7 linked regions of the Macaca mulatta genome follow. The protein of the gene in region 6 purifies or fractionates together with the protein of the main gene of each other region. This does not show direct contact. Links are inferred from orthologs where the notes say so. Each region holds a gene or a part of one and is shown on either strand. Other genes may lie near its edges. The genes, in order: COP1, DNAJA2, BAG2, CCT3, ARID1A, SOX2 and SQSTM1.

What was found.
Region 1: the proteins of SOX2 (region 6) and COP1 purify together in Homo sapiens (affinity purification with western blotting; 3 studies listed by BioGRID). This does not show direct contact. The link is inferred for Macaca mulatta from reciprocal best matches to the Homo sapiens genes SOX2 and COP1.
Region 2: the proteins of SOX2 (region 6) and DNAJA2 purify together in Homo sapiens (affinity purification with mass spectrometry; 3 studies listed by BioGRID and IntAct, with this or other methods). This does not show direct contact. The link is inferred for Macaca mulatta from reciprocal best matches to the Homo sapiens genes SOX2 and DNAJA2.
Region 3: the proteins of SOX2 (region 6) and BAG2 purify together in Homo sapiens (affinity purification with mass spectrometry; 3 studies listed by BioGRID and IntAct, with this or other methods). This does not show direct contact. The link is inferred for Macaca mulatta from reciprocal best matches to the Homo sapiens genes SOX2 and BAG2.
Region 4: the proteins of SOX2 (region 6) and CCT3 purify together in Homo sapiens (affinity purification with mass spectrometry; 3 studies listed by BioGRID and IntAct, with this or other methods). This does not show direct contact. The link is inferred for Macaca mulatta from reciprocal best matches to the Homo sapiens genes SOX2 and CCT3.
Region 5: the proteins of SOX2 (region 6) and ARID1A purify together in Homo sapiens (affinity purification with mass spectrometry; 3 studies listed by BioGRID and IntAct, with this or other methods). This does not show direct contact. The link is inferred for Macaca mulatta from reciprocal best matches to the Homo sapiens genes SOX2 and ARID1A.
Region 7: the proteins of SOX2 (region 6) and SQSTM1 purify together in Homo sapiens (affinity purification with western blotting; 3 studies listed by BioGRID, with this or other methods). This does not show direct contact. The link is inferred for Macaca mulatta from reciprocal best matches to the Homo sapiens genes SOX2 and SQSTM1.

What each region holds. Positions count from the first base shown.
Region 1 is NC_133406.1:33,462,140-33,466,368, reverse strand, and holds part of COP1 (E3 ubiquitin-protein ligase COP1), read left to right. Parts: intron 1-1,793; coding exon 1,794-1,911; intron 1,912-2,863; coding exon 2,864-2,988; intron 2,989-4,171; coding exon 4,172-4,229. UniProt on the Homo sapiens protein: E3 ubiquitin-protein ligase that mediates ubiquitination and subsequent proteasomal degradation of target proteins.
Region 2 is NC_133425.1:42,412,035-42,416,263, reverse strand, and holds part of DNAJA2 (dnaJ homolog subfamily A member 2), read left to right. Parts: intron 1-130; coding exon 131-264; intron 265-2,970; coding exon 2,971-3,167; intron 3,168-4,229. UniProt on the Homo sapiens protein: Co-chaperone of Hsc70. Stimulates ATP hydrolysis and the folding of unfolded proteins mediated by HSPA1A/B (in vitro).
Region 3 is NC_133409.1:125,106,532-125,110,051, forward strand, and holds the end of BAG2 (BAG family molecular chaperone regulator 2), read right to left. Parts: intron 2,184-3,520; coding exon 1,771-2,183; 3' UTR 959-1,770; downstream 1-958. UniProt on the Homo sapiens protein: Co-chaperone for HSP70 and HSC70 chaperone proteins. Acts as a nucleotide-exchange factor (NEF) promoting the release of ADP from the HSP70 and HSC70 proteins thereby triggering client/substrate protein release.
Region 4 is NC_133406.1:110,602,041-110,606,269, forward strand, and holds part of CCT3 (T-complex protein 1 subunit gamma), read left to right. Parts: intron 1-3,553; coding exon 3,554-3,740; intron 3,741-4,229. UniProt on the Homo sapiens protein: Component of the chaperonin-containing T-complex (TRiC), a molecular chaperone complex that assists the folding of actin, tubulin and other proteins upon ATP hydrolysis.
Region 5 is NC_133406.1:214,212,662-214,216,890, reverse strand, and holds part of ARID1A (AT-rich interactive domain-containing protein 1A), read left to right. Parts: intron 1-2,496; coding exon 2,497-2,704; intron 2,705-3,870; coding exon 3,871-4,003; intron 4,004-4,185; coding exon 4,186-4,229. UniProt on the Homo sapiens protein: Involved in transcriptional activation and repression of select genes by chromatin remodeling (alteration of DNA-nucleosome topology).
Region 6 is NC_133407.1:93,814,911-93,818,298, reverse strand, and holds SOX2 (transcription factor SOX-2), read right to left. Parts: upstream 1,833-3,388; coding exon 873-1,832; downstream 1-872. UniProt on the Homo sapiens protein: Transcription factor that forms a trimeric complex with OCT4 on DNA and controls the expression of a number of genes involved in embryonic development such as YES1, FGF4, UTF1 and ZFP206. Binds to the proximal enhancer region of NANOG.
Region 7 is NC_133411.1:188,832,563-188,836,791, forward strand, and holds part of SQSTM1 (sequestosome-1), read left to right. Parts: intron 1-523; coding exon 524-753; intron 754-847; coding exon 848-989; intron 990-1,781; coding exon 1,782-1,862; intron 1,863-4,229. UniProt on the Homo sapiens protein: Molecular adapter required for selective macroautophagy (aggrephagy) by acting as a bridge between polyubiquitinated proteins and autophagosomes.

The sequences.
Region 1 (4,229 bases), on a different chromosome or scaffold from region 6:
CAGCAGTCAGTACAGTAACGTGATGCATAGGTGTATAGCCTAGGAGCGCAGTAGGCTATACCATATAACCTAAGTGTGTAGTAGTGTGTACCATCTAGGTTTGTGTAAGTACACTGTATGCTCACACAATGACAAAATTGCTGAACGATACGTTTCTCAGAGTGTATCTCCATTGTTAAGTATGCATTATTGTACTTGCTGTTCAGCATCTCAAATCCAAAATCCGAAATGCTCCAATGAAGCATTTGGAACTTTGATTGTCATGTTGCCGCTCCAAAAGCAAGGATTTGGGATTTTTGGATTTCAGATGTGCAACCTTTTAATATATTGAATGTAAGTATGTTGAACATTGTAACATTCAGGGATTGGCAGAATGGGTTTACAAAAAAATTAGAATCCAACTTTATGCTATCTACAAGAGATAGACTTTAGATTCACAGACACACGTAGGTTAAAGTAACAGGATGAAAAAAGATACACCATGTAAGTAGTAATCAACAAAAATGGTAGAATGGCAGTATTTAGGTCAAACAGAAAATACTTAGAGTAGAAACCGGTACTAGAAACAAAGACATTTTATAATGGTAAAAGGATGAATAGTGAAAACATACATCAATTATCAACACACCTAAAAACAAACTTTTTGTAGATACATGAAAAGAAAATCTACAGTATTTAAGGGAAAAGTAGATAATTTGACTGAAGTTGTTGAAAAATACTCCACTTTCGATATTTCATAGAAAAACTGGACAGAAAATCAGCAAAGTTATAGAAGTCTTGAATAACATTGCCAACCTGACATAACAAACATCCAAAGATCACTTCATCCAACAGTAGAAGAACACACATTCTTCTCAAGCAAGCTTTAAACAGTCTCCAGGTGAGACCATATTTAAGACTGAAAAAAAGTCAATAAATTTAAAGTGAAGACATACAAAACAGTTTTCTGTCAATAAAATGATTGAAGACTTACAAAACAGTTTTCTGACCAAAATGGAATTAAATTAAAAATCAACAATAGTTGCTTTGAGACATCTGCAAGTATTTGGAAATTACATGACACATTACTAAATATCTCATTAGTCAAAGAAGAAATAACAAAGGAAATGTAAAAGGATTTTAAACTGAATGAAAATGGAAACACATCGTATCACAATTTGTGGTGTCAGCCAAAGCAATGTTTGTAGAGAATTGTGTATCCTTAAGTGTCTGTCTTTAAGAAGAGTAACAAAGCTAACTGAAGACAAGCAGAAGGAAGGAAATAATAAAGATTATCATAGAAATTAGTGATAGAGACAGACAGGAATAGAGATTGCCTATGATGGTGGATGCCAAATGAGTGATCTTATTGGAGTGCAGAAATATTATAAAACTGATTTATGGTAATGGTTGAACTGCTGGTTAAATGTAGTAAAGATCATTGAATTGCATGCAATACTTTGAGCGTGTGTATTGTATATAAAATATGTCTAATTTTTTAAAGCAAATGTGGGAAATAAGATTATATAGCATTATGTTTATCCAGATGTCCCATAATGTTTATATTAACATTTTTTAATGACGCCACTAAAACATAGATTGATTTTTAAGTTTCCAATTATTTTGACCTCTTAATACTCTCTTTCTAGAGCCAGTCTTATTTTAGAAAAGAATTCCTTTTTCTTTGTTTTCTGGCTGTTAGAGATTAGACATTCTATGTGAAACTTTTAATGAAAAAAACAAAAACCAGTTTAAATTAACTTTGCTTTCCATTTCTGCGTTTACTACATTTATCTAATTTTGTTTTGGTTTAGATCACTGTGTCCACTACTATGATCTTCGTAACACTAAACAGCCAATCATGGTATTCAAAGGACACCGTAAAGCAGTCTCTTACGCCAAGTTTGTGAGTGGTGAGGAAATTGTCTCTGCGTGAGTATTACTCCCCTCAGAGGTCAAGCTTAATACAGAGCTCTGTACTTAAACACCTACCAGTTTGTAATGTCACTGAAGATGTATGTAAACTATAATGTTGGAGTATATGTGCTTTTTCTTAAATAGTATTTTTTTTATCTTGTCCAATTAAAATAGTGTGGATTCTGGTCTGTATTGTGCTCTACTATATGTAAATTGTGGATATAATCCTGAAGATACTGGTTTTTTTATATATGCTCCCCCCTTAACTCATCCTCCTATGTTTAATTGCATTTGAACTTCAGATTGGATTTTAGCTATTGCTTCTTAAGAAGAGATAAACAACATAGTCGATGCAATATAATGAGAAGTATTTTATTTATTAAAGTCAACTAATGTGTTATTGTATATTTTATCTAGTTGCAGTATAGTGGTAGAATTATTTTTGGTTTTAAATATTACTTGGTTGGCTTTTACACTGACATGTTCATTTCTCTGTGATTTCATGGTGATTTTAAATATGTTGAAAAGAAAACTTTTTTTTTTTTTTTTGGCACAGAGTCTCGCTCTGTCACCCAGGCTGGAGTGCAGTGGCGTGATCTCAGCTCACTGCAGCCTCTGCCTCCCAGGTTCAGGTGATTCTCCTGCCTCAGCCTCCCAAGTAGCTGGGACTACAGGCACATGCTACCACTCCTGGCTAATTTTTGTATTTTGAGTAGAAACAGTTTCGCCATGTTGGCCAGGCTGGTCTTGAACTCCTGACCTCAAGTGATCTACCTGCCTCGGCCTACCAAAGTGCTGGGAATACAAGCGTGAGCCACCACGCCTGGCTGACAGATGAACATTCTAACTCAGTCTGGCTCCAGAGACTGCATTCTTAACCAGCAAACTGCATTGCCTCTAATTAGTAGTGATGAGTTTCGTGTCAAGAAATTTTAAATACATTCTTACTCTTTATACTTTTCCTCAGCTCTACAGACAGTCAGCTAAAACTGTGGAATGTAGGAAAACCGTACTGCCTACGTTCTTTCAAGGGTCATATCAATGAAAAAAACTTTGTAGGCCTGGCTTCCAATGGAGATTATATAGCTTGTGGTAAGTAAAACCATCGTTTCCAGGAACTTTTTAACAGGTATTTGTTATTGAAATTGAACTCAATGGAAATAGACTAAATATTAAGTCAGGAAATGGTGTGTGCACTTAGAAGATAGTATAATAGACATGATGCCCCAGCATTATTGATTTTCCTTGTGTTGTACTAGAAGAGCATTAGTCCTTCCCTTTTTTATTGTGTACAAACCCTGAACACCTCAAATACCTGAACACCTGATTTTTAACTGTTTTGTAGTTGTTCTCCATTATAACGTAATTCTTTAGATACTGCGTGGGAGACAGAAAAGGTTAAGTTCTGTTAGTAATATTTCCAATTTTGGAGACATTATATGTCTTCTTAAGCTTGATATTCATTTTCCCTTACCTGCTGTTCTCTCCATGAAGTAATCTATTTGCATAGTATTGATCTGTTATTCTAGGACTTTTATTGTTGATAATTTATACAAATTTAAATAAGAAATAGAAAAATCAAATTTGATATTATTCAAATGCTCTGATATATCTAATGCCTGAATATATGAGCTTTGATCATACTTTTAAATGACTTGGCCTTTATTCAGCAAAGTTGACTTTCTCCACATGTGTATGAGACTGCCAAAGCAAATATCTGGAACAATTATCCTATCTTAATAGATGGCTCAAAAATACAGTTCATAGACCATTAATCAAATAATTCCTATACTGAGAAATGGAAATAAATTGTGTAGGCTATTAAAATCTGCCTATGTAAGTGTTGCCAGTTTCTTTTACCTCTCTAAGTGGAAATCTTTCTAAATGTAATTTCAGATTCTTGCTATAATAACATATTTCTGGTTCTACTATAGACTGTTAGCTTGGTGCAGAAGTTAAAAGTAATGACAAAACCCACAATTACTTTTGCACTAACCTATATAAATGATTTTTATAGGGTAATTTTAGCCTCGGAATTATCAATATTGTCATATCATTTAACATTGATTGTTTCTTTAGATCAGTAAAGTATAGCTTTTGTCCAAGAATCCTTTTCTTACATGATTTCTAATTAGTCCTGTAATCTAGCCTTTCAAATTTGACCATAAAAGATCTTTGAGCTAAAACTTTGGGTGATAATTACTATTAGAATGTGATGTCCTAATTCCGAGTTTTCCTATTCTAAAATATTATTATTATTATTATTTGTTTTCAGGAAGTGAGAATAACTCTCTGTACCTGTACTATAAAGGACTTTCTAAGACTTTGCTAAC
Region 2 (4,229 bases), on a different chromosome or scaffold from region 6:
ACACAAGTTATTGTGTTTAAATACAAGTTATTGGGGTTGAAGTTAAGGTAAAAGTACAATTTCTGTGTGTCATAGCTTATTGGAGTGGTCTGTGGACAAAAACCTAATGCATAACTTGTGTTTGCTTTAGCCAAGGTGGAAAGTCTGGAGCTGTCCAGAAGTGTAGTGCTTGTCGAGGTCGGGGTGTGCGCATCATGATCAGACAGCTGGCTCCAGGAATGGTACAACAGATGCAGTCTGTATGCTCTGATTGTAATGGAGAAGGTATGTGTGCCAGTACTTCTCTGCTTTTATGTTGAAATGGATTGAGAATGCAGATATTGGAGAGGTTTTCAATTTTTTATTTCAAAGGGTATTTGTTTACATCTTATTAAAGAAAAAGGAGGCCGGATGCGTTAGCTTATTCCCATAATTCCAGCACTTTGGGAGACAGAGGTGGATTGCTTGAGCCCAGGAGTTCGAGGCCAGCTTGGGCAACATAGGGAGACCTCATTACTATAGGAAAAAAAGTGTAGAAAAATATGTAATCAGGAGCTCAGGGCATGTCTGTGGTCCCAGCTGCCTGGGAGGCTGAGGCGGGAGGATTGCTTGAGCCCGGGAGTTCAAGGGAGCAGTGAGCCGTGATCATATCAGTGCACTCCAGCCGGGGTGACAGAACAAGACCCTGTTGCAAAAATAAAAGCGTGAAAGTAATTACTCCATTATGCCTAAGCCCAGTGAATGTAGAGAAACAGTAGATTTGTATTGTGTTAGTGAAAGGTGACTCCTTAATTCTGAAAAGAGGGGCAAGGTGATTATTTGTTCCTTTGCTATTTCCTTCTTTATCAAATATAACCTTTTATATACTGTTTCTGTAGAAATGACCACCATGGGAGGACTTTCTCCTTTCTCAAGTAGAACCTTTTAAACTACAAAGGGACAAATAAATAATAACTAAACAAGTAATTGTTTAGTTACTCTGATAAGTAGAAGATTTTACTGTAACCTTTAGTTAGCTTTAAAGAATTGATTTTGAGATTGAAACTGTCCTCACAGAAGTAAATAATTTAGTCTTTGTGGGCCAAATAGTTTTTGTCACAACTACACACCTCTGACTTTTAGTGCTTTTATAGCCACAGACAAATGGGTATGGCTGTGTTCTGATTAAAATTTTAATTATAAAAACAAGTAGCTCCTCCCACCCCTGCCATTCTAGAGCAGTGCTATCCAATAGAATTTTTTTCTGTGGTGATGGAAATGTTCTGTATCTGCAGTGTTCAGTACAGTAGCCATTAATCACCTGTGACTACTGCATACTTCACATGTGGCTAGTGTGACTGGGGAACGATTTTAAATTTGAATTAATTTAAACATAAACTTAAGTAGCTACAGGTAGATAGTGGCTACCACATTAGACAGTATAGTTCAAGAGCATCCTTTTCCACATTGCTATTGGAAGTGATGAGATAATTATGAGAAGCTACATATGATGTTTGCTTCCTGGATAATCTTGGCATTTTACTTTATTTTTTAAAATTATTATTATTTTTGGAGATAGGGTGTTGCTGGAGTTCTGTGGCGCATTCTCGGCTCACTGCAGCTTCCACCACCCACGCTCAAGCAATCCTCCCACCTCAGCCCCTCACCCCACAATTAGCTGAGACCACAGGTGCTTGCCACCACGCCCAGCTAATTTTTGTATTTCTTGTAGACACTGGGTTTTGCCATGTTGCCCAAGCTGGTCTTGAACTCCTGGATTCAAGCAATCCTCCTGCCCCAGCCTCCCAAAGGGCTGGGATTACAGGTGTTAGCCACCACTCTTGGCCTCCTTTTATTTTATTAAAATTGCTAACTCCCACTATCAAGAAACCAAAGTTAACTGAAATCTTTTCTCATGTACCATTACTTTTTTTTTTTTTTTCCTTTTTTTTTTTTTTTTTTAAATGTGAGACAGTCTTGCTCTGTTGCCTAGGCTAGAGTGCAGTTGCGCGATCTCAGCTCACCGCAACCTCTGCCTCCTGGCTCAAGTGATTCTGCTGCCTCAGCCTCCTGAGTAGCTGGGATTACAGGCGCCCGCCATGACACCCGGCTGATTTTTGTATTTTCAGTGGAGACAGGGTTTTGCCATGTTGGCCAGGCTGGTCTCAAACTCCTGACCTCAGGTGATCCTCCTACCTTGGCCTCCCAAAGGGCTGGGATTACAGGCGTGAGCCACCATGCCCCGCCACCATTACCATTTTGAAGAACTGGTGTTTCGCAGAACATACTTTGCAAAAGTACTGTTACAGAAACAGCCCCTAAATAATCAGTTATACACATCTTTCTAAGCCTCCAAATGTGCCAGTAATTAGCCATTAGAAAGTGACGCAATTTTTTCACACTATACTATGTATAATCACAGTTTTGCTTTTTTATACCATAATTAAATATTTCAGAAGAATATATAGAAGAGAAAAGCCGTGTTGCCCTAAACATGGTATGGATACATTACATTCTGAAATAGTGGGAAGCTGAGTCCTTCAGGCAATCTGCAGTAGTAAGATGTAAGTTTTTGTTATTCAGAATAATGCTTTTTTTTGTTTTGTTTTGAGACATGGCCTCACACTGTTACCCAAACTGGGGTGCAGTGGCATGAGTATAACTCACTGCAGCCTCGACCTCCAGCAGTCCTCCCTCCTCAGCCTCCCGAGTAGCCAGGATTACAGGTGTGCACTACCATGCCGGCTAACTTTTTTTATTTGTAGTAGAAGCAAGGTCTCACTGTATTGCTAGGCTGGTCTCAGATCCTGAGCTCAAGTGATCCTACCACCCTGACCTCGCAAAATACTGGGATTGCAGGCTCGAGCCACTATGCTTGGCCTCAGAATGCTGCTTTGAATAAAAATTTAGGTAGCTATTAAAAGAAATTCAGAAAGTATATTTAAAGGATAAGAGTATTAAAGAGTACAGTATAGTACTCTTGCTGAAAGTTTCAATGACTTCTTTTTCCAGGAGAGGTAATTAATGAAAAAGACCGCTGTAAAAAATGTGAAGGGAAGAAGGTGATTAAAGAAGTGAAGATTCTTGAAGTCCACGTAGACAAAGGCATGAAACATGGACAGAGAATTACATTCACTGGGGAAGCAGACCAGGCCCCAGGAGTGGAACCTGGAGACATTGTTCTTTTGCTACAGGAGAAAGAACATGAGGTGATTTTCCTTTTTTTAGTTTTTTGTGTTTTGTTTTATTCAGAAGTACTTCTTGTTTGTGAGAAATAGGTTAGATCTGTTTGGAGTCCCTGGAGCAACACTGCACACTGGAGAAGTTAAGGGAATCATGGCAAGTTCCTAAAGACAGGCTTGTGTAAGAAAGACTAACAAGGCAGGTGCCGTTAGAAGCACTATAAGAGTCAGTTTTAGTCCTGGCTTGGTTTTTTTTCCCCCCCACCCGAGATGGAGTTTCACTGTTGTTGCCCAGGCTGGAGTGCAGTGGCGTGATCTCGGCTCACTGCAACCTCTGCCTCCCGGGTTCAAGCGATTCTCCTGCCTCAGGCTCCTGAGTAGCTGGGAATGCAGGCGCGCACTACCACTCCTGGCTAATTTTTATTTTTAGTAGAGACGGGCTTTCTCCATGTTGGTCAGGCTGGTCTTGAGCTCCCGACCTCAGGTGGTGCACCTGCCTCAGCCTCCCAAAGTGCTGGGATTAACAGCGGGAGCCACTGCACCCAGCGTTGGTCTTTTTTTTTTTGACGGAGTTTTTTTGACTGCACCCAGGCTGGAGTGCAGTGGCGCAATCTTGGCTCACTGCAACTTCCGCCTCCCAAGTTCAAGCGATTCTCCTCTAGCTTGGTCGTTGACTAGTACTTTAACCGTAGGTAGTCTTACTGTCTCAGTTTCTTTGTTTATGAAAATAAGGGCACTGGGCGTTGGACCAGTTGGTCTAAGGCAGCCTGTTTTTTCACTGTGAAACTCTGCTGCTCTGTTGATTTGGTTTTTACTTATTGGGTAGCCAAGTGAGCTATCCTTGAAAGAGTTCTAGGATTTAAAAAAAACAAAACAAAAAAAACATTTTTTTTAGAAGTTTCTGAAGAATGTGGTCACTAGTGTATGTTTTGGGGTTTTTTTGTTTTTGAGATGGTCTTGCTCTGTTGCCGAAGCTGGAGTACAGTGGCGTGATCTGGGATCACGGCAACCTTTGCCCCTGGGCCCAAGCAATCCTCCTATCTCAGCCTCCCAAGTAGCTGGGACAACTGACACACCATCATGCCCATC
Region 3 (3,520 bases), on a different chromosome or scaffold from region 6:
AACTCCATTGCAAAAAAAATGGGAAAAACAATGCTAAGAATACCAAGGTCAAGGAGGCAGAACCAGAATAATTTGTGGTAGAAAAAGTCCTGGGCTGATGTGGAAGCCATGGGAAGCAGGGAGCAGTAGTAGTTCCCAGAGTGGAAGGGATTTACGAATGCTGACAATACTTGAGAACTTGAAGAAAACCTGACTATCCATTTCTTAATTTTCAAAAAGCTGGTCAAGAAAAAAATGATGCACACAAAAAAATCATCTCACAGCCTGATGACAGCAAATCAGAGTCTGCTAACAAACCAAGTGGCTTTGCCATAGATAGAATTAATGTTTCCCATGAAATGGAAAGATTTAAATAAGGCAGAGTTGGAGCTGGCAAAGGAAGTAACACAAATGTCTTCAGATTTTAACTGCTTTTTATAAAGAGACTAACTTGGCATTTTTGTAGAGAAAAAGAAGTTCAATATTGCTTGCATTGAGAGAGAGAGACATATATAAAATCAGTTTGGATCCTGATTTGGTTTTTCAGTGTGAAGAATACCTACATTGAAATAAAAATTGATGTGTTCATTTCAAAATAGTATCTAGGGAAGTTGTTGCGTTTATATCAACAGGACTAGTTACTTTAAACAAATAAGTGTTCTCTAGTTGCTTCACTTTATCACAGATAAAAGAAGAATCAACACACTGGTCAACCTTTTTAGTAAACAAAATGCAAACTAAGTGTTAATGCTCAGTGCTGGAAAGAGTTCAGTGAAATAGCTATATTTTATTTACTGAAAAAAGTATAAATTGCTATAACCTTTGTACAAAAAATTTTTAATAAGTGTGTGAGGCCATGAAAATGTCTATACCCTTTGATCCAATATAATTCACTGCTGGGCCTTTATACAGAGAAAATTGAAAACAAAAGAAGGAAAAAGCCCTGCGTACAAAAATATGTTGCAGTAATAGCAACAAGCTGGAAGCAACCTAAATGTCCGTAAGATGGGAATGGATAAAGAAAGATATAACTACACAAAATAGAGCTCATTAAGTTGACAAGCAGGCTTTATATCAGCATCTAACTTTTTTAAAAAGGCAAGTTACAATATAGGAATTCTAGAGAATTGATGCATTTGAGAAAAGATGAAGCAGATATATAATTGTTCACAGTGGCAAATTATAGGTGGTTTTCTCACATTTTATGTCATAGTTTCTTGTATATCAAAAAATACATTCATATTATGAGACACAGGAATCTTTACATCCAAAATAATTTGATATAGATGCCTTAACATTGAGGAATGAGACAACTTTGGAAAGACTGTTGTTTTGTGATTCCTTTTTATCCCTCTAAGCACAGTGCTTTGTTAACACTGTGTGTAGTAAATGTGTGTGCTGCTTAAGGTAAAGAATTTCTAGTCAACTAAATGCCCAAGGTGACTGCGTGATTCCACGCCAAAGCACAGGAAAAAGCAGTGATGCTTTTGCCCCTAGCTGAACACTTGTTTTCCCCCACAAACTGTATTCATCCACAGAATAGTGAAATATGCTAGATCCTAGTACAAGATGAGAATTCAATCTAAAAAATCTCTAGATAGATAATTAAAATATTGCTAGTTTTGTTATTCACAAAACTGAAGATACTTGATGGAATATTTTCCTCATCTGAAACAACTGTCAGTATCAACTAAGTGGTTATATCTAACATAAAGAACTAGTTATCAATTAAAATAGTATTTTATCATTTTTACACCATGTGTATTGTGTAAATGCTGTTGGGTTTGAAGACTAATTGAATTTGCTTTCAGCATTTTGTTGCAGAGTTTTGGTACCAGCTCCTTTAGAATGCTCTAATAGCTTGATGGCCTTGTCAGAGTTTTCAATATTTCTAAGCAGAGTCTCTAATCTTCTCTTAATTTTCTTCTGATCTTCAAGAGCACAGCCAATTACTATGGATTGAAACTTCTGATCAACCGGCCCATGTGGCACCTCAGATGAACATGCACTGTAGAGCGACATTAAATGACTCTTGGCATTTCCCAAATCATCCAGAAACTTATTGACCACCTCATCAATAATCCTTGTGGCATGCTTTAGGGATTCTTGCTGCTGGGGGTTTCTAATTGTTTCTACTGACACTTCAACGGTGAGAGTTCTTCCCATCAAACGGTTTGCAGTCAGATTTAATTCTTCTCTTTCTCCTAAAATGTCAATCAATATGAGACATAAACTTATCTGTGTCAAGAACATTAAGGCATTTGTGACTAAATGTATTAAGTATCTGCTATGAAATTTTTTTAAAGATACAAGCTAAAATTATAGCATGTAAGATTAACTGATGAAATGTATTAGATTACAGAGAGAGGTTGTAGAATACCATTTCCTGACAATCTTTATATATGGGATACTAGATGACTTCTCAAATTGGCATGTTTGCAAAAGTTTGGGTAGGTATGCATTTGTAACTGGGATGGAGATCAAGTCTTAACCCTTTGAGCAGTAAGCACATATAGGATTTATGTTGGGTACAGCTCCAGAGATCAGATGTCCCAGATCTCTCCATAACGACATGTGCATTTATCAGAATACACTGCCCCAAATTTTGGTTGAGAAAATATAGCCATGATAGAAGATAAGCTGGCATCAATACTAGGCACTGACTTCATGCTTCTCCAGATAGAAACAGGACAGTGGTCTAAAGTCTTGACCGGCATGAGGAGCTCTATCAACATTTCATTATTTATATGAAAAAGTCAGCAATCTCCTGCTTCTGTAACTTCCTAATTCATTGATCTTTGGGCAGGACAGTGTAGAGACTAGATCATGGCCTACCATAGATGTGTAACAGTTTTGATCTGGATTTAGATTGCTTACTTATCTCACCAGTCACTTGGCCCAGTAACATGTGGCCTGTGTGGCACCAAAGGAGCCCAAGTAGGAAGTCCAGTGCCAATAAAAAGAAAATCACAAGTGACCTATTCCTACCTATTACATGTTCTTCACATGAAAATGACAGCACAGGCTAGGCGTGATGTCACATGCCTGTAATCCCAGCACTTTGGGAGGCCGAGGCAGGCAAAATCACCTGAGGTCAGGAGTTCGAGACCAGCTTGGCCAACATGGTGAAACCCTGTCTTTACTAAAAATACAAAAATTAGCCAGGTGTGGTGGCAGGCGCCTATAATCCCAGCTACTCAGGAGACTGAGGCAGGAGAATCACTTGAACCCGGGAGGCGGAGGTTGCAGTGAGCCAAGGTCGTGCCACTGCACTCCAGCCTGGGTGACGAGTGAAACTCCATCTCATAAAAAGAAAAAAGAAAATGACAGCACATTTTTACATTCATGCCTTTTACTGGTCCTACAAGTTTCCTCATTTTCTCTGCATTTTGTCCCTCTCTTTATGTTGTACCTCAATTCATCTTTTTTTTTTTTTTTTTGGTCTCTACTTCTCTGCTTCCATTCTCACCCTTTTTCCTCTGTGTTTTTTAATCTCTTGCAGTCCAGTAACTTGTGAAGAACTGAAGTTAGGAGTGTGAAC
Region 4 (4,229 bases), on a different chromosome or scaffold from region 6:
CACTCCAGCCTAGGCAATAATAGTGAAACTCTGTCTCAGAAGAAAAAAAAAAGCATATATTACCTCTAGCTTCAGGGAATTTTAGTTAAGGTTTAACATCGTGTGGAGTCATGTAGAGCAGGTCTTGAATAAACGTTTTTGTTTAAAAAGTAAAACTTGGCAGGGCCCGGTGGCTCGTGCCTGTCTGTAATCCCAGCACTTTGGCCAAGGTGGGCGGATCACGAGGTCAGGAGTTAGAGACCAACCTGGCCAACATGGTGAAACTTCGTCTCTACTAAAAGTGGAGAAAATTAGCTGGACATAGTGGTAGGTGCCTGTAATCCCAGCTACTCAGGAGGCTAAGGCAGGAGAATTGCTTGGACCCAGGAGGTTGCAGTGAGCTGAGATTGTGCCACTGCACTCCAGCCCAGGCGACAGAGTGAGACTGTCTCAAGAAAATAAAAAGTAAGACCTGGACTGGGCGCGGTGGCTCATGCCTGTAATCTTAGCACTTTGGGAGACCAAGGTGGGTGGATCACCTGAGGTCAGGATTTCGAGACCAGCCTGGCCAACATGGTGAAACCTCATTTCTACTAAAAATGCAAAAATTAGCCAGGCGTGGTTGCATGCGCCTGTAATCCCAGCTACTCAGGAGGCTGAAGCAGGAGAATCACTTGAACCCGGGAGGCGGAGGTTGTGGTGAGCCAAGATCATGCCATTGCACTCCAGCCTGGGCAAACAGCAAAACTCTGTCTCAAAAAAAAATAAAAATCGATAATGTATTCTTTTTTTCATGCCTGACTGGAAATAGTTTGTTTGTTTTTTTCTTTTCTTTATTTAAATGTTCTACTCATATGGTTGAGTCACTAGATGCATAAGTATTTAGTAATTTGGTGAGGTTTATATTATACTGTCTGCGCTTTTTTTTTTTTTTTTTCCTAAGATGGAGTTTTTGCTCTTGTTACCTAGTCTGGAGTGCAATGGCGCGATCTCGGCTCACCGCAACTTCCGCCTCCCGGGTTCAAGCGATTCTCCTGTCTCAGCCTCTTAAGTAGCTGGGATTACAGGCATGCACCTCCACGTCCAGCTAATTTTGTATTTCTGGTAGAGACGGGGTTTCTCCATGCTGGTCAGGCTGGTCTCGAACTCCCGACCTCAGGTGATCCACCTGTCTTGACCTCCCAAAGTGCTGGGATTACAGGCGTGAGCCACCGCGCCCAGCCATATACTGCCTGCTCTTAAACAAGTTGTATACTAATATCTTTGTCTGGCACACTTAAGGAATGAAGTGTTTAATTATTTTTATGCAGTAAGCTCTGTGAGAATGTAGAGGTACCTAGAGATTTTATTGTGTGGAGCTGCACCCTTAGCTTTTTTTTTTTTTGAGATGGAGTTTCACTCTTGTTGCCCAGGCCAGAATGCAGTGGCTGGATCTCGGCTCACCTCAACTTCTGCCTTCTGGCTTCAAGCAATTTTCCTGCCTCAGCCTCTTGAGTAGCTGGGATTATAGGCATGTGCCACTAGGCCTGGCTAGTGTTGTAATTTTAGTAGAGATGGGGTTTTTCTCCAAGTTGGTCAGGCTGGTCTCAAACTCCTGACCTCAGGTGATCTGCCCACTGCCTGCCTTGGCCTCCCAAAGTGCTGAGATTACAGGCATGAGCCACCGTGCCTGGCCCAAAATATATATTTTTTAATCAAGTAATAACTGCCTACCTAGAACACTTTAGTCTTATGTAAAAACATTTTTTGGGGGGGAGTGGGGGGTCTTGCTCTGTTGCCCAGGCTGGAGTGCAGTGGCACGATGTTGGCTCACTGCAGCCTCTGCCTCCTGGGTTCAAGCAGTTCTCCTGTCTCAGCCTCCCAAGTAGCTGGGACTACAGGTGCATACCACCATACGTAGCTAATTTTGGTATTTTTAGTAGAGATGGGGTTTCACCATATTCGTCAGTCTGGTCTCAAACTCCTGACCTCAGGTGATCCACCCACCTCGGCCTCCCCAAAAATTTATTTTTTAGAGATATGGTCTCACTCTGTTGCCTAAGCTGGAGTGCAGTGGTGCAATCACAGCTTACTGCAGCCTCCGGCTCCTGGCCTTAAACAGTCCTGCCCCAGCCTCCCAAGTAGCTAGGACTACAGATGTGTCCATCACGCCCTGCTAATTTTTTTTATTTTTCATAGAGATAAGGTTTACTATGTTGCCCAGGTTGATTTTGAACTCCTGGCCTCAAGCTCTCCTCAGTCTTCCAAAGTGTTGAGATTATAGGTGTGAAGCATGGCACCCAGCCCCCTTTATCTTAGATACTACTTTTGGAGTCATTTCTTCTTCCCAAAAGTCCATAATTCAACCATTTAATAATTGGTATATTATGTGCCTTTCACTGTTAAAAGAGGAATTTGGTTTATTTTGGTGTTGTTTTTTTTTTTTGAGACGGAATCTCTGTCGCCCAGGCTGTAGTGCAGTAACACGATCTCAGGTCACTGTAACCTCTGCCTCCAGAGTAACTGGGACAACAGGCACAGGCCACCACTCCTGGCTAATTTTTGTATTTTTAATAGAGCTGGGGTTTCACCATATTGGCCAGACTGGTCTCGAATTCCTGACCTCAAGCGATCTGCCTGCCTTGGCCTCCCAGAGTGCTGAGATTACAAGTGTGAGCCACTGTGCACGGCCAAAAAAGATATTTTAGCATTATGTGAAAGTATCTTGTGAGGAGAGACTGAAATTAATATAAAAATGGAAAATACAGAAAATGTGTTTACAGTAACATAAAAACACAAAGATGACCAGTTGGTGGTCATCTTTGACCACTGTGGCACACCATGAGTTAAAAAATAAAATTTGCTGTTCAAAATGAATGATTGATGAAACTCTTAAAGTTAGCTAGTTACAGGATAGAGTTTCATAGAAAAAAAGTGTCTTGATCTGAGTTGTAAAAGTTGAAAAGTTTACTTGGTTGAAGCAGAAAATAAGGAACAAATTATTTTACTATAATCTTTGTATGTAAGTGTAAAGGGTTGCTCAGGGAATTAAGGCACTTCTACAGATGAGTTGTAATCTTGCTGAAAGGCAGAGGAATGGATAAAGGTTACCTCCTAATGTCCTTTTTGTTTCCTCCAAAAGAACAAGTCCCGGCCGGGCACGGTGGCTCAAGCCTGTAATCCCAGCACTTTGGGAGGCCGAGACGGGCGGATCACTAGGTCAGGAGATCGAGACCATCCTGGCTAACACGGTGAAACCCCGTCTCTACTAAAAAAATACAAAAAAAACTAGCCGGGCGAGGTGGCGGGCGCCTGTAGTCCCAGCTACTCAGGAGGCTGAGACAGGAGAATGGCCCGAACCCGGGAGGCGGAGCTTGCAGTGAGCTGAGATCCGGCCACTGCACTCCAGCCTGGGCGACAGAGCGAGACTCCGTCTCAAAAAAAAATAAAAAAAAAATAAAAAAATAAAAAAAAAAAAGAAAGTCCCCGTGTTCTGCCTCTTGGTCCATTATTATAGTCACTGCGGTATAGATGAGGCACATCTCTACATATCTAACATGCCTTCTTCACATATCGTCTGGTTTTCTTTCTCTAGTATCCCAGTCGACATCAATGACAGTGATATGATGCTGAACATCATCAACAGCTCCATTACTACCAAAGCCATCAGTCGATGGTCATCTTTGGCTTGCAACATTGCCCTGGATGCTGTCAAGACGGTACAGTTTGAGGAGAATGGTCGGAAAGAGATTGACATAAAAAAATACGCAAAAGTGGAAAAGGTAAACTTTCACAGTGTATACATTGGGTCAAATTATATCTTAGCATGAGTCATCTCACTTGTGAGGAAATAGTTCGTTTTTAGTGTTGTTTTGTTTTTGAGACAGAGTCTCACCCTGTTGCCCAGGCTGGAGTACAGTGGCACAGTCATAGCCCACTGCAGCCTCAAACTCCTGGCCTCAAGCAAATCCACTGATTTTCTAGGACTACAGGCACATGCCACTGTGCCCAGCTATTTTTTTTTTTCTTTTTGTGGAGATGAGGGTCTCATGTTGCCCAGGCTGGTCTTGAACTCCTGGCCTCAGGTGATCCTCCCACCTCAGGCTCCCAAAGTGCTGGGATTACAGGCATAAGCCATCGCACCCTACTTGAATGAAATAGTTTTAAATCAGGGCTAGGTATGTTTGTTTGTTTGATATGGAGTCTTGCTCTGTCGCCCAGAGGCTAGAATGCAGTGGTGCAATCTCAGCTCACTGTAGCCTCCACCTCCC
Region 5 (4,229 bases), on a different chromosome or scaffold from region 6:
AGCAGAAAAGAAAGTGATTGGAATGAAGCCAGCCAACAGTCAGTTACGAATTCCTTCTCCCTTCAGGCTTTATTCCCCTCCCCCACAAAGGAAAACAAAACAAAACAAGACACGTGCATACTGCCACATAACTGGCATGAGAAGCAAAGCCATGGAAGGCTTTTGAGGTGACTCCATGTATATTCCTGCCATTCTCCCTGATACTCAGATCTCATAGTCAAGTCTTCCCTGCCTATAGGGAAGGGGAGCTTTGGGTTAGGTTTCGCTCGCTTCTGATTGGGTGAGCTTCAGGGTTCACTGAACCTAGGATGAGATACAGAGAGAATTCTGATGTCTGAGTCTCTTCCAGATTGCAAAAGGATGCAAACCTTTAAAATGCCTTGTAATTGAACTTTTAAAAGACAGTGATAATTCAGGGGCAAAAGAGTGCTTTTTATAAGTTAGTTTATGAAGGCTCCAAGAAAGCAAAGCTGCATCTTGAGCTTATCTAAAGGATTAGTAGGGTTTAGGTGGAAGAGTGGCCAATCCAGTAGACTGGCCTAGATGCCACGGAGATGGGAGAGAGTCTGGATATTTCCCACCAAAGCCGTTTCCAACCATGAAGACTTAGCTCAGGTGTTACCCACTCTAAGAAGTATTCCTAGTCACCTCTGCCCCATCTAGGTTGTCCCCCTCTGTGCCTGTTGAAACTCCTCTTTCTAGTGTCATGGGTACCGTATCAGCAGACATTACGACTTACTGAACTTCCTTTGTGTACAGGGACTGGAAAACCCTTGTTCCCAGGCCTTGGGGGAACAGATTTACCATATGGTAGATGAATAAGCGTAAGAATACATGAAGAAGGAGACCTGTCCATCTAGAGCAGAAAGACTAATTGTAGGGAGCATCTGGGGAATGGGCTTGGTCAGTGTGCCCTAAAGCTGAGGGAAGGAGGCAGAACTGTAGGTTGGCTGCTGGGGAGGTACAAAAGTCATAATAAGGCCGGGCGAAGTGGCTCATGCCTATAATCCCAGCACTTTGGGAGGCCGAGGCGGGCGGATCACGAGGTCAGGAGATCGAGACCATCCTGGCTAACATGGTGAAACCCCGTCTTGTCTACTAAAAATATAAAAAATGAGCTGGGCGTGGTGGCGGGCGTTTGTAGTCCCAGCTACTCGGAGGCTGAGGCAGGAGAATGGCATGAACCTGGGAGGCGGAGCTTGCAGTGAGCCAAGATCGCGCCACTGCACTCCAGCCTAGGTGACAAAGCGAGACTCCGTCTCAAAAAAAAAAAAAAAAAAAAAAAGTCATAATGAGGCCCTGGGCCAGGCACAGTGGCTCACACCTGTAATCCCAGCACTTTGGGAGGCTGAGATGGGCGGATCATCTGAGGTCAGGAGTTTGAGACCAGCCTGGCCAACATGGCCAAACCTTGTCTCTACTAAAAATATAAAAATTAGTGGAGCATGGTGGCAGGCGCCTGTAGTCCCACTGCTTGGCAGACTGAGGCAGGAGAATCACTTGAACCCAGGAGGAGGAGGTTGCAGTGAGCAGAAATGGCGCCACTACACTCCAGCCTGGGTGACAAAGTGAGATTCTGTCTCTAAGTAAATAAATAAGACCCTGAACACCTGGACCATCAGGACAGTGACTGGTAAGGGAAAGGGATCTGCGGTTATTTGTCAGTGAGATATGTTAGGGGAGCCAGTGGCACAAGAATGTCAAATTTGCAGGGAGCACCATGCCAAGAAAAAAATCAGATGTGTAAATTCTCAGTTTAACAAAGCAAGTCAAGCAGGGTGGTCATTGATACTATCACGAGTCTCCATTTTATAAAATGTTAGTTTTTATTAGTGCATTTAAAATAGGATTTAGGGCCAGGCACAGTGGCTCATGCCTGTAATCTCAGCACTTTAGGAGGCTGAGGCGAGTAGATGACTTGAAGCCAGGAGTTTGAGACCAGCCTGGCCAACATGGTGAAACCCTGTCTCCACTAAAAATACAGAAATTAGCCAGAAGTGGTGGTGCACGCCTGTAATCCCAGCTACTGGGGAGGCTAAGATAAGAGAATCGCTTGAGCCCGGGAGGCAGAGGTTGCAGTGAGCTGAGATCGTGCCACTGTATTCCAGCCTAGGCGACAGAGCGAGATTTATTTTTTCTGTCTCAAAACAAAAAAAAAAAAAAAAGGATTTAGATATGCAGATGATTTGTACACCATTTTTCAGCAGTGTACTAAAAAACTGGACTCTGAATTCTGTTCCAGTAGTAATGTGAAATTTGCCCTGTTTTGCATAAGCACAGTCTGATAGTTGCAGTGGAACATCCTGAGGGTAAAACGAAGCCAGCTGCAGATTAGCACTTCTTGTGGAGTATCCACCAAGCAAGTTTAACTTTTTTAATTAACTAAGAACTGTGATTTTACAAAGATGAATACCTTGCAGCCTGATGGGGCTTGGGACTTTCGGGCAGAAAACCAGGCGGGAGATATACCCCGACTCTTTTGGTTTGATTATACAGGTCAACAAGAACAAAAAATGGCGGGAACTTGCAACCAACCTCAATGTGGGCACATCAAGCAGTGCTGCCAGCTCCTTGAAAAAGCAGTATATCCAGTGTCTCTATGCCTTTGAATGCAAGATTGAACGGGGAGAAGACCCTCCCCCAGACATCTTTGCAGCTGCTGATTCCAAGAAGTCGCAGCCCAAGATCCAGCCTCCCTCTCCTGGTAAGGATGGGGTCAGTGGCCCCACCAAGGCTGAGAGGGTCTGTTGCCCTGGCCTCATATTCAGTGGTACCTGCCTCCAGTAGGATATGCCAAGGATCTGTGCTCTGCCTTGCCCTACCACAGGGCTTAATAGGTTGGCTGACTAGAGAGTGGGCAGTGGAAACTCCCTTGGGAGGTACTCTGCAGCAGCCCTTAAAGTTTTACTTTTTGTCGTGCAGCTGGCAACTTGCCAAATGTTTGTAAAGTTGTGAATGGGAGGGGCACAAGAGGAGTTGAGGGAACTGACAAATGGCAGCAAGACAGGGCCATCTGGGAGCTTTGGCCCCTTGATGTCAGCACCTTAGAATGCAGCTCAGACTAGAGCCCTGAATTCCCCAGGGAGCTGAGATGGTAATGAATGGAAAGGAGGGAGTGGGGAAAGGATATGAATGGAACTCCCTGATGGGAGTGCCTCTGCCCACCCTCCTTTCTGAGAGGAGGCTGAGGCCTAGGGCGAGCCTAGAGAGGGAAGAAGACCAGGGTGCCTGGAAGGTGGGTGTAAACACATGTGCCCTGGTGTTGACCTCTGAGGGTGTAATGAGTGCCTGAGATGACTCATCAGCTGGGGAGGCCTCAGCAGTGGGATATCTACTGCCAGGAATGGTAACTATTGGAAACATTAATTACTAGTAGTTTTGTACTCATCAGCTTAGAAGAACATTTGAACTTGAGAGATGACACCAAGCTGGATGCTTCAGAACAGGAGCTCCTAGACTCCTAAAATACATCCCAGATTTGGAAGCCCCTCCCTACCCAGGATTTGGGAGGTTCTGACTGGAGCTCATGCACCAGCATTACAGGGTTTAATAGGTTAGACAAGGTCCTTTGGAGGAGTGAAAAGAAATAGCCAGGGAAGCTGGCAGTGACTCAAGGAATCACCAGCATGGTGATGTCATGGCCACATCACTCCTCTTTTCTACATGTAAAACAAAAACAAAGAGCTACAAAACCCTCAAATTCCCGTCTTCATGACCTGGCCTTGTAGATCCTCTGCTAAGAAGGGTGATCAGGCTTTAAAGGCCTTAGGAAGAACTTTCCCAAAGAGATTCTGGGTCATTCGTGTGTTTGTGTGAGAGTTAAACACTTTCATGCCAAGCAAACTGCTCAAATTGTATCTCTGTCCACAGCGGGATCAGGATCTATGCAGGGGCCCCAGACTCCTCAGTCAACCAGCAGTTCCATGGCAGAAGGAGGAGACTTAAAGCCACCAACTCCAGCATCCACACCACACAGTCAGATCCCCCCATTGCCAGGCATGAGGTATGGCCAAGAGCAGGGGCAGATGGTTGGGAGGTATGGCTGGAGATAAGTGCATGGGAACTCCTTTGCAGCCAAAGGGTGGTCTTTGCCTCTGCCTTCCCAGCCAGTGACTACTGCGTGTCCTGTGTTACATTGGAGAAATGGGTCTATTTGTGGTCTAATTGGTTTTCCTCACTCTGGAGCAGGAGCAATTCGGTTGGGATCCAGGATGCCTTTAATGATGGAA
Region 6 (3,388 bases):
ACACAGTAATTTCATGTTCTTTTTTTTATCTGAACAAAATGGAAAGTTGGGATTGAACAAAAGCTATTATAAATTACCAACGATGTCAACCTGCATGGCCATTTTTGCTTTTAACAGTTGAGTTATAAAATTTAGTACAATCTAAAACTTTTGCCCTTTTAAACAAGACCACAGAGATGGTTCGCCAGTACTTATTCTAATTTTTTCCTTTTGTACAATTTTTAAACAATTAAAATGTCCAAATCTGAATAATTTTCTTCTTTCCACGTTTGCAACTTTCCTAAATTTCAGCTGCAGAATCAAAATTCAGCAAGAAGCCTCTCCTTGAAAAATATTGGCAAATTCTCAGCTTATAAACAATGGACATTTTGATTGCCATGTTTATCTCGATAAATACTGTACAAAAGTTGCTTGCAAATATTAAAACATTTTTTTCGTCACTTGGAGACTAGCTCTAAATATTATTGGTAAAGACTTTTGCAAACTTCCTGCAAAGCTCCTACCGTACCACTAGAACTTTTAAAAAGTTTTTCGTAGCTTTCTTTCCTCCAGATCTATACAAGGTCCATTCCCCCGCCCTCCCCACCCTCCCCTGGTTTTCTCTGTACAAAAATAGTCCCCCAAAAAGAAGTCCAGGATCTCTCTCATAAAAGTTTTCTTGTCGGCATCGCGGTTTTTGCGTGAGTGTGGATGGGATTGGTGTTCTCTTTTGCAGCTGTCATTTGCTGTGGGTGATGGGATTTTTTTTCCATTTTCTTTTTGAGCGTACCGGGTTTTCTCCATGCTGTTTCTTACTCTCCTCTTTTACAGCCCTCCCATTTCCCTCGTTTTTCTTTGAAAATTTCTCCCCCCTCCAGTTCGCTGTCCTGCCCTCACATGTGCGAGAGGGGCAGTGTGCCGTTAATGGCCGTGCCGGGCACCGGGCCGCTCTGGTAGTGCTGGGACATGTGCAGTCTGCTGGGGGCGGCGGGTTCCGGCACCTCGGCGCCGGGGAGATACATGCTGATCATGTCCCGGAGGTCCCCGGCCTGGCAGGGCGCCCTGGAGTGGGAGGAAGAGGTAACCACAGGGGGGCTGGAGCTGGCCTCGGACTTGACCACCGAACCCATGGAACCAAGAGCCATGCCAGGGGTGCCCTGCTGCGAGTAGGACATGCTGTAGGTGGGCGAGCCGTTCATGTAGGTCTGCGAGCTGGTCATGGAGTTGTACTGCAGTGCGCTCACGTCGTAGCGGTGCATGGGCTGCATCTGCGCTGCGCCGTGCGCGTTGAGGCCCGGGTGCTGAGGGTAGCCCAGCTGGTCCTGCATCATGCTGTAGCTGCCGTTGCTCCAGCCGTTCATATGCGCGTAACTGTCCATGCGCTGGTTCACGCCCGCGCCCAGGCCGGCGCCCACCCCGACCCCGCTCGCCATGCTGTTGCCGCCGGGGGCCAGCAGCCCGCCGGGCAGCGTGTACTTATCCTTCTTCATGAGCGTCTTGGTTTTCCGCCGGGGCCGGTATTTATAATCCGGGTGCTCCTTCATGTGCAGCGCTCGCAGCCGCTTAGCCTCGTCGATGAAGGGCCGCTTCTCCGTCTCCGACAAAAGTTTCCACTCTGCTCCGAGGCGCTTGCTGATCTCCGAGTTGTGCATCTTGGGGTTCTCCTGGGCCATTTTGCGCCGCTGCCCGCGGGACCACACCATGAAGGCATTCATGGGCCGCTTAACGCGGTCCGGACTGTTCTTCTGGTTGCCACCCGCCGCCGCCGCAGTAGAGTTGCCGCCGCCGCCGCCGCCCCCCGAAGTTTGCTGCGGGCCCGGCGGCTTCAGCTCCGTCTCCATCATGTTGTACATGCGGGCGCTGTGCGCGGGCCCGGCCCGCCGGCGGCCGCCGACCCTCGGCCCGGCCGGGACTTTGGGGGCCCGCGGGCGGGGGGAGAGGAGGAGGGGAGGCGGGCGGGGGTGTCGGGAGCGCAGGGCTCCGCGAGGAAAATCAGGCGAAGAATAATTTGGGGGAAAAAAAGAGAGAGGCAAACTGGAATCAGGATCAAAAAAGAGCTTCCCTCCTCCTACGGCCGATCCTGCCGCCGCCGATGATTGTTATTATTATTTTTTGGAAAGGCTTAAGCCTGGGGCTCAAACTTCTCTCCCTTTCTTTCTCTCTCCTCTTCTTTCTCTCAGTCCTAGTCTTAAAGAGGCAGCAAACTACTTTCCCCCTTTTGCAAACACTCTCTTCTCTGCCTTGACAACTCCTGATACTTTTTTGAACAAGTTAATAGACAACCATCCATGTGACGGGGGCTGTCAGGGAATAAATGGGTTTCTAGCGACCAATCAGCGCGCGGCGGCTCCTCCACTCGAGCCCAGCCTCGCTGCCGGGTTTTGCATGAAAGGGGGCGGGGCCTCCCGCGCCGCCGGCCGCGCGGGGGAGGCCGGGGGAGGAAGGGGCAGGCGAGGAGGGGGAGGAGGCTCCCAGAGCCAGCCTGCCAGCCACTGAGAAACCTTTGTATCCCCTCTCGCAGCAACAGGTCACACCACACGCCTTTTCGAAGGAAGTGGGTAAACAGCACTAAGACTACGTGGGGGTTTTTTTTTTCTTTAAACTTAATATTGATTTACTTTTTGGTGCAGGGTACTGAAATGAGGATGGGACGCGGGAAGCAGCTAAGGTGCGGGGGTGGGGCAGGGCACAGTGGGTGGCTCAGGGCGGCTGTCCAACTCGTATTTCTGGAAACAGCCAGTGCAGGAGTTGGTGTGTCATTGTTCTCCTGCTCATCCACAGCACTCCCCCCCCCAACTCCAGCCCCTCTGGTGCCGCTCCCGTACCGCGCTCTTCCGCTCTCCCCTCTTACCTTACAGGTGCCAACACTCTCACTCCCTTCTCACAGTCCCGACTAGCAGTTAGGAGACCCAAACCTCTGTCCTCAAAACCTTCCTTGCTTCCACGTAACGTTGCTCTGTTCTTAAAAATAAATCCTGCTCGGACCATGAGGCCGACTCTAGAGCTGAGAACCGGCAGGCCTTGGTAAGCTGCCATCTCCCTGTCCAACTCAGCTCTTTGGCCCAGGAAACTGCAGCTCTTCCTCTTAGCCCCAGCCACATCTCCCACTAGACTGTCTTCATTCAACCGTAGCAAAGGGGATGCTCCTACTGTCTCCCCCCACTCCCCATTCCCATCCCATGCCTCCCTGAAAGAAGGGTTTCGGTCGTGCGGGTTTCAAATGGGGGCTGGAGAAAGAGACAGACGGAAGGGCGCTCAAAAGTGCAGGCGATGGGGGAGGGTGATTTCAACTTCCTGGCATCCCACGGCACTGTACGGAGGTGGCTTTTGGGCCGCAGTCACAAACTCCCTCCCACGCAGAGTTCCCAGGACTCGAGCAGAACCAGCCCTGGCATTTCCCCCGTCGATT
Region 7 (4,229 bases), on a different chromosome or scaffold from region 6:
GTCCCAGCTACTCAAGAGGCTGAGACCAGAATCGCTTAAACCTGGAGAGCAGAGGTTGCCGCGAGCCGAAATCACTCTGCACTCCACGACTGCAGATCACGACTGCACTCCAGCCTAGGTGACAGCGTGAGACTCTGTGTCAAAAAAAAAAAAAAAAGACATACTAAGTGCTGTGCCTGACCTGACCTGACCTGAGAAAGAGGAGTCCGTGTTCACCCTAGGTATGGGGTCTGCTGCCGCGGTGCTTGGGTGAAGAGCAAGGCCCAAGTCATGCAGCCCGGGCTCCTTGCTGCTGCTCTGCTGCCTGGGCCACGGTTCCCAGGTAACAGACACAGGGACTGGGAACCTCCTAGCAGGTTCTTGGTTGCTCTGCCGCCCTCACCTAAGCAGCTGAATTCTGTGTGGACTCCATGCTGGGGAGCAGTTCCAGGGGCCTTGCTGGCAGTGACAGCCCCACAGTGATGATAGAGGGGGAGCACTTTAGGGGGCCGCACCCTAGCAGCTCTCTCTGCCCTTCCTGCAGAGAAAAAAGAGTGCCGGCGGGACCACCGCCCACCGTGTGCTCAGGAGGCGCCCCGCAACATGGTGCACCCCAATGTGATCTGTGATGGCTGCAACGGGCCCGTGGTAGGAACCCGCTACAAGTGCAGCGTCTGTCCAGACTACGACTTGTGTAGCGTCTGTGAGGGAAAGGGCTTGCACCAGGGACACACCAAGCTCGCGTTCCCCAGCCCCTTCGGGCACCTGTCTGAGGTGAGCAGGCCCTCTGGGCAGGCCTGGGGTGGGCTCAGGGTGGCAGGAACCTTGACCCGCTCACTGCCTGCCCCTCTGCTAATTCCTCCCCCAGGGCTTCTCGCACAGCCGCTGGCTCCGGAAGCTGAAACACGGGCACTTCGGGTGGCCAGGATGGGAAATGGGCCCACCAGGAAACTGGAGCCCACGTCCACCTCGTGCAGGGGATGCCCGCCCTGGTCCCACGGTGGAATCAGGTGAGGCTTGCATTGGAACCGGCTTCTGAATGGTGACAGTAGTCAGGCAGCCTGTGCGCAGAGCCCTTGTGCAAAGCCTGTGTGCAAGGCAAGATACCTCCCCACCTTCCTGGTGTCCTACAATCGCACAAGAACCTGCAAAGTGGGGAGTATTCTCTGCATTTCCCAAACAGGGAAACTGAGGTGTGAGTGCCTGAAGCCACAAATTCACCTGCATAGCCCTTCCCCCTCAGGAGGCTGCCCTGTCCAGGTGCCGTGAGGTGCAGGCAGGGAGGCCCTTCCAGCCCAGAGTTTCTGATGCACTTTGTTCTCTTTTGTGATGGTTGTCGAAGATCAGAGCCCAAGTTTCTCAAGTCCTTTTAAACATAGTTGTAAGTTAAAGACTTACCCTTAGCTTTGTAGTCTAGATTTTTGGATTCTGATTTTATTAATGTTACTGTGTCCTGTGAATCACCCCACCCTCTGGGACAAAGATGGGGATGTTTGCTTGACTTTGAGTAAATATTTACTCAAGGATGTGATCAATATTCACAGTGTACCGAGCCTGAGCCTGTGTGGGGTTGCTGAGCACCAGGGTCGCAGATGAGGGGGAACGGCGTGCGAGAGAGGAGAGGCTCTCGGTGCAGGGCCAGGGGGTGCAGAGTGGGAGGGAGGAGAAGGGGGATGCTGAGTGGGCCCCTGGACAAGGCGTCTGGGTTAAAGGTCACCCAGGAACACAGGGACCTTGGCAAGAAGGTGACAGGTATCCAAGGCATTAAAGATATCTTTATCTTATCTTTGTAAAAATCAAAGCTGCTGGTCCATCGGAGGATCCCAGTGTGAATTTCCTGAAGAACGTGGGGGAGAGCGTGGCAGCCGCCCTTAGCCCTCTGGGTGAGTGCACCTCCTTGCCCAGCGCTTGCCTAACTCAGCCTGCACTTTGTCACTTTCACCGGGAATACCGCAGAGAAATGGGTAATTGACATGCCCTTGACACTGGTGAGGGTTTGTTGCCTCAAGTCAACCTTTACTAAATCCTGGACCACAGGCAACTCACTCACGGTTGAATTCCCTGACAGAATTCTCAAGCTTTCTACATGGAGTGAAGTAGAATCAGCATTTGGTTGGGACAGTCCCAGTGAGGCAGGGTCACCAGGGTCTGGCTGTAGGGCTTGCCTGTCACCTCTGACTGGCCTCCTTTGGGTGAACAATAGTCTGCATTTTCCCCTAAGCCAGGCCTTGGGATTTGGACTTTTGAGGACCTGGGTAGTAGTAGAGATGCTATTTATCTTTTCCTTCTTTTAGTTTACAACCCCCAAACCTTTCCAGTGCTTCTGGGCGCTGGGCCTGCATCAGAGCGGGGAGAAGGTGGAGGCAGGTACTCTGGGTGACAGCCAGTTCTGGTGCCTCAGGTTGCACAGTGGGTCTGCTGGGGTGGGCAAACCCCAATGTGTACCCCCAGAGTGGTGCCACCTGACCCCAGGCATGAGCTCAGGCTCTGAGACCCCTCCCCGCTGGGCTTTAGAAAGTGCTTGTGTCTGGCTAAGGGTCTGGGGTGGGTGCTGCAGGGTTAGGCACGCGGCAGTAAGAATCAGTGAATGAAGCCAACTTCTAGTTCAAGATGACGGTGGATCCGTGATGGCAGATGGATCGCTGGGACACTTGCATCTCTCTAGAAGAGTGAGCTTGTTTTTGCGACTGCAGTGGCAGGCTGTGTCAGTCTGTCCAAAGGTTGTGTTCAGTGTCTGAGAGAATGCTGCCAGGAGGGGCATCCGAACCCTGCCTGCTGCCTCCTGTGGCTACAGGGCATGACTGCCATCTGCTCCAACTCTGCTCATTCCAGGTTTTTTTTTTTTTTTGAGATGGAGTATTGCTCTGTCGCCGAGGCTGGAGTGCAGTGGCGCGATCTCTGCTCACTGCAACCTCCACCTCCTGGGTTCAAGCGATTCCCCTGCTTCAGCCTCCTGGGTAACTGGGATTACAGGTACCCACCACCACGCCCAGCTAATTTTTGTATTTTTTTTGGTAGAGACGGGGTTTCGCCACATTGGCCAGGCTGGTCTTGACTCCTGACCTCGTGATCCACCCGCCTTGGGCTCCCAAAGTGCTGGGATTACAGGCGTGAGCCACTGCGCCCGGCCTTGCTCATTCCACTTTGAGGCAGCAGTGACATCTTGGCATTGCTGCTGTACTAAACAGCCCAAACACATATGGCTTCTGTACTAGAGTTTAGAGGCGAAGTCAGAGAATAGGAAAGAAGAATCGCTATTCTGGTTTTTTTGTTTGTTTTTTGAGATGGAGTTTTGCCCTTGTAGCCCAGGCTGGAGTGCAATGATGTGATCTCGGCTTGCTGCAACCTCCGCCTCCTGGGTTCAAGCGATTCTCCTGCCTCAGCCTCCAGAGTAGCTGGGATTACAGATGCCCGCCACCACGCCAGGCTAATTTTTGTATTTTTAGTAGAGACGGGGTGTCACTATGTTGGCCAGGCTGGTCTCGAACTCCTGACCTCGTGATCCACCCGCCTCGGCCTCCCAAAGTGCTGGGATTACCGGTGTGAGCCACCGTGCCCAGCCTAGAATCAGTATTCTTAATGCCTTCGAAGGAGGGTAGAACAGTGGAGCACTGAGATCATGACTGAGAGATAGGCTGTGCCTCAATCCTGCAACTCACTCTGGGCATAGTAAAGGTCAGAAAAATTGCAGGTGAATTTGGAGGTTCGAACAAGAGTCCTTCACTCAAAGAACAAAGGAGGAGACATCCTGGGAAGTCACAGAAGCAAGTGTAGGTTCAGGTGGAGACTTTAAGAGAGTGCAGATCCCCAGACCTTACCTGTTTTGGTTGTGGTAAGTGGGTGTTGGTGGGGCCTGGGATCTGTCTGGGAGGCTGCCCAGGTGCTTGGGGTCACACTGTCTCAAGACCCGCCTGTGCTGGTGCAGCATCTCGGCGTCAGAACTGAACTGGACGCCCCACTTGGCACAGACAGGAATCATCTTGCAAGTGCTCAGATGTCTTTGAGCACTAAAAGCTAAAGGCTCAAAGTGGGTAGAATTGCTTTCTCCTAACCAGGGAGGAGCCTGCGGCTCTACAAACAAGGAAGATTTTAGTAAAATAGACTGAGAGGTTTCAGCTGAGGAGAGCCAGTCGCAGAGTGACTTAGACTGTTACAGAAGTTAGGGCTAGTTTCTTTCCTTTCTTTATGAAGAACTATAAGCCGCATGACTCAGGTTAACTGCCTAGAAGGGACTGTTCCCAGAGCAGGGC